2 linked regions of the Notamacropus eugenii genome follow. The protein of the gene in region 1 interacts with the protein of each later gene in a pairwise test. Links are inferred from orthologs where the notes say so. Each region holds a gene or a part of one and is shown on either strand. Other genes may lie near its edges.

What was found.
Region 2: the proteins of CTNNA1 (region 1) and ARMC8 interact in a two-hybrid assay, tested with the Homo sapiens proteins (2 studies listed by BioGRID and IntAct). The link is inferred for Notamacropus eugenii from reciprocal best matches to the Homo sapiens genes CTNNA1 and ARMC8.

The regions. Positions count from the first base shown.
Region 1 is NC_092872.1:366,019,479-366,023,225, reverse strand, and holds the start of CTNNA1 (catenin alpha-1), read right to left. Parts: upstream 2,549-3,747; 5' UTR 2,350-2,548; intron 1-2,349. UniProt on the Homo sapiens protein: Associates with the cytoplasmic domain of a variety of cadherins. The association of catenins to cadherins produces a complex which is linked to the actin filament network, and which seems to be of primary importance for cadherins cell-adhesion properties.
Region 2 is NC_092876.1:329,188,150-329,191,896, forward strand, and holds the start of ARMC8 (armadillo repeat-containing protein 8), read right to left. Parts: upstream 2,794-3,747; 5' UTR 2,576-2,793; coding exon 2,411-2,575; intron 1-2,410. UniProt on the Homo sapiens protein: Component of the CTLH E3 ubiquitin-protein ligase complex that selectively accepts ubiquitin from UBE2H and mediates ubiquitination and subsequent proteasomal degradation of the transcription factor HBP1.

The DNA of each region.
Region 1 (3,747 bases):
AAACTATCCATCAGATAATAAACAAACCCATCACATGTCCAGTCAGTGACAGCAGCAGGAGCAAAAACATCCTTATCTGTTACAGACTTTATATTTTTTTCATTAAAAAAACTGATAGAATGCCTATGTGGCAAAGTGATGTGGCTGAGACAAAGACTGATATGAACAGTCCTTACCCTCAAGGAGTTTACATATGGGAGGGAGGTAAGACAAGTACACAATTATTTTTAAAAAATGTCATGAGTAGTAAAGTACCCTGGCACTTCAGGGACTGCTTCCAATTCAAGTAAGAAGACTTCATGTAAATGTCAACAATTGAGTTGGATCTTGAAAGATAGGCAGAATTTCATCAGGCAGAAAGGGGAAAAAAAGGGCATTCTACATAGAGAGAATGGCTGTATCAAAAGCAAAAAAGGTACAAAGGGTGTAGTTCACACTTTGATAATGAGCTTTAAGGTTTACTAAAAATCTTCCGCAGAATAACCAGGTAAATCAGGTCTTCATTATTCCCATTTTAAAGTCGAGAAAAGTGAGTCTCACACCAAGACAAAGGAACTTGACATTATAAGGCTAAGGAGAGTCAGAACTTGAACCCAAAATCTTTCAAATACACCACACCTCACAACAGTGAATGACAAGGACTCCACATGAATGGTACAAGTGGATCATAAAAAGAAAAGGTTTAAAAGCAAGGAGTATGTCCTATTATGGAGAACTCTAGTGCCAGCCTGGAGGATTTTTCCTTCATTTTGTAGTGAATGAATAGACATTCAAAGTTTTTGAACAGTAAGTGATTTGATCAAGTTTGTTTTAGACTAGGTCAGAGGCAATAACCAGACTGTCTCCAAGGGTAAAGATGACATTTTATATTTCTTTTACATCCCCAATAGCATGTAGTCTAGTGCTGGACAGCACGGCATGGTGGATGGCACACTGGACTTTGAGATGGATGACCTAGGCTTTCACTGGGACTCAGACACAAGAAGGTAACTTTTCCTCTTTTCTCATCCGCAAAATGGGAAAAATTCACAGGATTGTGAAAAAAGCACTTTAGAAACCCTAAAGCAATAAACAAGTGTTATTATTATTACCGGCACGTAACAGGTGCTCAATATTTACTATTTGAATAACTTACATTTATATAATTTTTAATTTTCTTAAAGTGAGGCAAACCTGCATGGGTAGGTTTTTAAATCAGTACTTTTAATAAAAAGAAAAATGAAATCCCTATTCCTCTCCCCCACCCCCATCAAAACTGCTTCCCTATCAAGGAGCTCTAAGGATGTGATCATTTCTACCAAAGTTTCCAACTCATGTTATTTAGCTACAATCCAATGTGGGAAAAAAGTTACAACACGGTTTATGTCCCCATTTAGCTTAAGCAGGAAACTCATTTTTGCCTGAAAGATTACAAGCAAACTTTAGTTATCTAACTACAAAATTATTAATTATCCATTGGTTGCCTTCCGCACCAAGACTAAAATTGTTAAGAGTTAAATGCTGTCCTATTCATTAGCATAAAAAGTTGGGAGTACTTTGACAATCCAAGTTAAGAGTCCATTTTATTTACAAAGCTACGTAATTAAAAACCAACACGAATGGATCAGGTTCTCGAGTTTCGGAGAGCCAGAAGTCTTTTTTTAATGAATCACTTTCCCTGGTGAAATGGCCCAGGGAAGTGGAATCTGGGTTCCGCCACCGAGATTCCAGAGATTTCCGGGTGTGGGAAGGAGAAAGGAAAGAGAAACCACTGGAAAAACCCAAACAATCAAACTATTCGGAAAGTAATCCAATCAAGGCAAGCGGACCACCGCCCCGCCCAGGGGATAAAATGCGAATTATTCCAAAGGGAAGTGACTGGGCTGGACGCCCGCACCAGCGCCCCGCGCCCCCCCACCTCCGCCACCGCCGGGGGGAGGTTGGGGTGCGGGCAGAGCCGGGGTTAAGGAGGGTTCGGCGCGCCCGACAACTTAACAAAGTTAGTTCGGGAACCTCGAGAAACTTGGCCCGAGCGGGGGAGGCGCCGCGGAGCCCGCCCGCAGCCCTGGAAGGGAGTGCCCCACACTTGCCCACCAAAGTGCCCACCTGGGCTGACCCCGGCCCGGGCCCCGCTCCCCGCGCCCCCACCTCCCCGGGCCTCGCTCCCCTCCCCGGGGCGTGGCGGGGCAGGGGCGCCCCGCCGATAAGGCCCCCGCACTCCCCGGCCCGGGAGGGGCGCCGCCCCGCGAATCTCGCAAAGTTCAGGGGGAGCCGCGGGAGGGGCGCAGGCCGGGGCGGGGCGCCCCGGAGCTAATGGCGGGGTCCGTCGGAGGGCCCCAGGCCCGGAGCCCAGGGAGCGCCGGGAGTTACCTGCGGTGAGAGGGGTGCGAGCGCAGGAGGAAGAAGAGGAGGATCCCAAAGGCCCCTACGCCGAGCGCCGCCGCCGCCGCCGCCGCTTTGTCTCCCGTCCCGACTCCCGAGGAGGAAATGGGCCGTGGCCCGCGCCTCCGCCCCTCGGCCCCTCACCGGCCCCCCGCCCCGCTCCAGGCTCTTCCCGGCACCGCCCTCCGCGGCCGCTCCGCCTCGCCGCTCTTCCCGGCTCCTCCCCCGCGGCCGCTCCGGCCATTCCCGCCGCGCGCCCTCTCCCTGACTTTTCCCTGCAAGTAAGAGAACTGTACACATTTCTCGAGGAGAGGGGGGCGACTGGGTGGGGTATTGCTCTGAGACAAACTCCCCAAGCCCTGAACCGCTGTCCCAGGATGGAAAAGTCCCCTGGAGTGGGGAAGGCGTAAGGAAGAGATTAAAGGGGAAAGGGGAGGAGAAGAAAATCCCTGGAAGAGCTCAGAGAGGGGGATGGGGGCAGGGCAGGTGAGTCATCTGGCTCCGGGGCTCAGGTGAGTCTCAGGGTGGGGTTTTTAGGCAGGCTCCGCCCCTCAGCCTGAGACTTAGGAGCTCTGTGCCAGGTACTGAGCTGGATCTCAGATATCTTTCCTTTGCTGTAAGTGAGCTAGGCTATCCCAATTCAATTCAATTCAGGTTTATTAAGCGCCTAGCCTGTTCCAGGCATGGGAGGCATGTCTCCACGGGACCCCTGAGGCTTGTCCTGTTCCCAGAATTAATCCTTCAGAAAAGTCATACTGAGTTTTGAGGTAAGAGCTCACTTTTATTTTGCCCTCTAAATTAAGAAAAAAAAGCGTCCCTCGCAACATGGGGCAGGGCAGGGAGCGGCCAATCTTGATACACCCTAAAACTGATAGCAAATCTTAAACGTTAAGTACTAAATGATAAATTCTACCTCCTGCATTTCAGAATAACCAGCAAAATTGGTACTAGCCTGCAAAAATGCCGACATAACCGATGGTTGGGCAGGATCATCGTTTAGATTCGTTGAGAGTTTGGTGTGTCTACTACCAAGTGATATCAAAAGATTCCTTTGAAGAAAACTGTATTTCCCTTGGTATTTTGCATAAAGTCTTCCCAATTTAGGTTTTGTGAGAGGAGAGCTTAACCTACTCCATGCCCTAACATTAGGAGGTTAAGTATGAAGGGGCTTGTAAGTGGGAGTCCTGTCCTTTCTGTATTTGATCCACCACTTGAATGCAAGGTACCTCATTATGTAATGATGCACTACAACTCTGAATAAATGTTCTCAGAAGAAGGAAATTGACCTAAGAGTTAAAGTTAAACCTCTCTACATGCACCAACATATTTATGGCAGCAAAGAACTGGAAACAAAGTAGTTGCCTATCAGTTCAGGAATAGCCAAAC
Region 2 (3,747 bases), on another chromosome or scaffold:
TACTTTTAGACAATTCTCTAAGACTAAGTTGCAGAGAAGATGCTGAGCTACCTTGGGGATACAAATGTAAAGAATGAAGTAATCAATGAATGCTTTCAAGGCATTTACATTCTAACATAATTTCATCTCCTATATAAATAAAATCACAGGTCCAATCCCTATCTTTATATTTATGTAGTACTCTGTCAATATGTTTAATCTGAGGTTATGGCAGAACTCCCCGGTGTATATGTCCAGCAAGAAGCTAGAGATGTAAGACTGCAGCTCAGAAAAATCCTCAGGTTGTAGGGACAGAGAATTGTCGCCTGTAGAGAAAGTAATAATTAAAGCCAATGGAACAGATAAATTCTCTAAAAGAGAAAGTATAGGGGAGAGTTTTCAGGCTGAATGAAATATAGATGAAGTAGTGGATAGAACACCAGGCTTAGAGTGAGAAGAAAGTTCAAATGTGACCTTAGACAGGAACTAGTGTGAGCCTGGGCAAGTCATTTAACCTGTTTCACTCAGTGTCCACATCTCTAAAATAGAGATAACAATAGCATCTCACAGGATTGTTGGGAAGATCAAATCAGATAGTACTCCTGAAGCATTCTGCAAAGCCTAAAGCGCTAAATAAATACTAGCTAGGATGATCATGATCATGATAACTCTTGTTAATAGGATCCTAAGTTTTGGATTGGAAAGAGCCTTAAAGTTTATCTAATCAAATCCCCTCATTTTTCAGATGTGGAAACTGAAGTCCAGAGAGTTAGGTAACTTGTCCAAAATCAAACAGGTAGCAAGCGGCGGAGCCAAATCCAACTTTCTCTCCGATGAAATGCTTGTTGAGCTATCTTCTGATTAACAGTTCAGTTTCCCAGCTACCTCAATACTACAAAAGAAATCACCAGAATAGTGTACATCAAGTTTTCAGTCATGTAAAAAATGTGTCAGCAAATTTAATAAAATGGTATCCTGGATCAAATCATCCCTCTGTTTGGACAATACAAGCAAGTTATCTCAAACACCAAACAACTCACGGTGAAATGAAGTTCTGGACCTACAGAACTGTGAAACCATATCTCAAACTGTGGCAACTCCACAAGCAGGCTGCATCTCCTGAGATAAGAGCTAAACATCCACTTTGCCCTATCCAACAACGATTATCACAACATGAATTAGGAGGCAGCCCCTGAAGACCGAAGAAGGTGGCTTCAGAACAAAATAAAAAATTACTTTTCACTGCAGGTAAATACTTAAAACTTAGAGAGATGCATGGTTGATAGCACTAAAGAAGTTTATTTAGAAGTTAGGAATGTTCATGGTACTCTACTGACCTGTAAACTGCATTGGGGCAGAGGCCATGCCGAATCTACACTCTATAAGTAACCTCTAGCACAGAACTATGCTTACAATAGTTGCCTAATAAATATTTATTGAACTGCTGAATCTATAAGGATGTGGCTGCTAAAAGAAAACTATCATTATACTCCAAAAAATATTTTTTGGCGTCATTGTCAGAGACAGAACAATGGCCTGATCTGATCAGGATGAGAACACTTGTTCTTAGACCTTTGTGTTGAGTTTGATAAGTAAGGTATATAAAATTTATTAAGATGGACTTAGGACAGTGTCATGGACAGCTGAGGGTAAACTTTTACTTAAAACTGTAATACTTGCATTGTCAATACACTATATTACATCTAGAATAGATAAGAAGAGGTCCCCTTTCTCTAGTTCTGAGGTGTTTTGTTCAAAATCCTCCCCAAATACGGTATCCGTTAAGGAAATGGGGATGTAGTTAATTTAAAACCACAGAGTCAAAGGGGCCTCACAAATAAGTCATCTGCTCAAAACCCAAAGCATTAAAAAGGGCACAGAGAGGAGGAAAGAAAAGCATAGGAATAAAGAAATGGGAGGGTCTCTTGGGTCAAAAAAAGGAATCTGCTCCAATTCCCCACCCCACATAGAAATGCTTTCTAAAACACCTCTTAACAGCCAAGCGGCCATCCAGTCTCCGTTTGAACAGCTACCTTAATAAGTTGGCCGCTTCGCCAGTCCTATATCCAACTACTTTTGGACAGCTCCAATTGTAAGGGCTGCAAAATTTCCACCACTGGTCCTGAAATTCCGACCTCTCTCCAGCAAAACCGATCGGTATCCTCCCCTCTAAGTGACAGCCTTCCAAGCGCTGGAAGGCCAGGCTTACAAGGGTGCCCTCTCCCCGAGCTGGTGAACGTCTGGTCACCCCCTTTTTATTCTTTGAACTCCCTCCAAGGAGTTGATCTGTCGTTACCCCGGGCGGCTCCAACAGAGAAATGACCCCATGGACAGCTCCAGATAAAGGAGGTCGGACAACAAACACTTTCACCGGACTTGCAGCATGAGCCCCCCTCCTCCCAACTCAGCCGCAAGCGACTCCCGCACGTACCCGGATACCAGGCTTGGCCCCCTTGAAAGTCGCGGGGTCCCCAGCTAGGAACCCCGAGCCCGGCAGGCTGCCCCAGCTCCTCCCCTCCCTTGCAGCCCCTCCGGGGCTCGTCAGGGAGCCGGAGGGAGGGGGCCGCCCCACTCTCCCGGCAGGGAGACGAGCCATCAGTCTCCCTCCGCAGCCAGGTCTCGGGGTGGACAGATCTCCAGGCGGCCCCGCCGGCGCCGGGGGCTCCGGGTCCCCCGGAGGGCCCCGCTGCCTGAGGCTGATCTCCGACTCCCAAGTCCCCGCAGCGAGCGCTCCCCAGACACCTCCCCGGAGCCCGGCCGGCTGAGGAGGGAGGGCCGCCCTGCGGGGGACGGGACGGGAACCACGGAAGTCGTTGGAGAACGTGGCCGCGTGCGGAAGGCGGCGGAGCGGCCCCCTCCCTCCACCCCCACCCCGGGCAGCCGCCGCGGGTCACTCACCGAGAGGACGCTCATGCGGATTGGGGTCTCCAGCAGACACGCCATCTTGATCCTTCCCACCGGGTTGGGGTAAGGCCGGGGATGGCTTCGGCACTTTCGACGGCGCCTTCCCTCCGCCGCTGCCAATACCTATCCCTGGTGGAGAGGCTGGCGAGGGAAAGGTGCGCGCTGCTTCAGGCGCGGCCGTGGCTCCGGGAAGGACTGTTAATAAGGAAAGGAAAAAGAAAGAGGAACGTTCTAACGAATCGGCTGTTGGGAAATAGGCATCAATCTTAGTTGAGGGGATTGAGACGGAGGGGAGGGGCGGTGTTCAGCAGTTGACGCATGCGCCTGGTGGGAATGGCTCCCGTGCCCACCCTCCACCTGGGCGGGGCAAGGTCTTTGCGCACTGAGTGAGGGCCCTCTAGAGGATGAGAGTTAATGAAGTGTTTTTCATGTTCTCTTAAGAGAAAACTTTTCTTGGGTTTGGAACTGTCAGGCACCTTGTCCAACCTTCTTATTTTATAAGTGACGAAATCGATGTTCACAGAGATTGAGACTGGTTCAAGGTCACACGGATAGTAACGTAAAATAGGGGTCCCGTCATGGGCTCCTTGAATCCCGCTCTGGACCCTTTCCTGTAGGTGTGTAGCCGTTGGAGCGCTTCTCAAAACCCTACAGAGGGGGAGACGGAGACAGGTGAAGTGACTGAGCCAAGGTCGCCTCGTTATTTTGGTATCTGACCCCTAAGACTAATGCCAGGTATTCAAAGTGAAGATGAACATTGAGATAATTATATAATTCAGAACAAGTTATATAATTCAGAAGAAAAAAAGTCAAACAAGTAAGGATTTAACCTTAGAATGGTATATGAAATACACTAAAACCCAA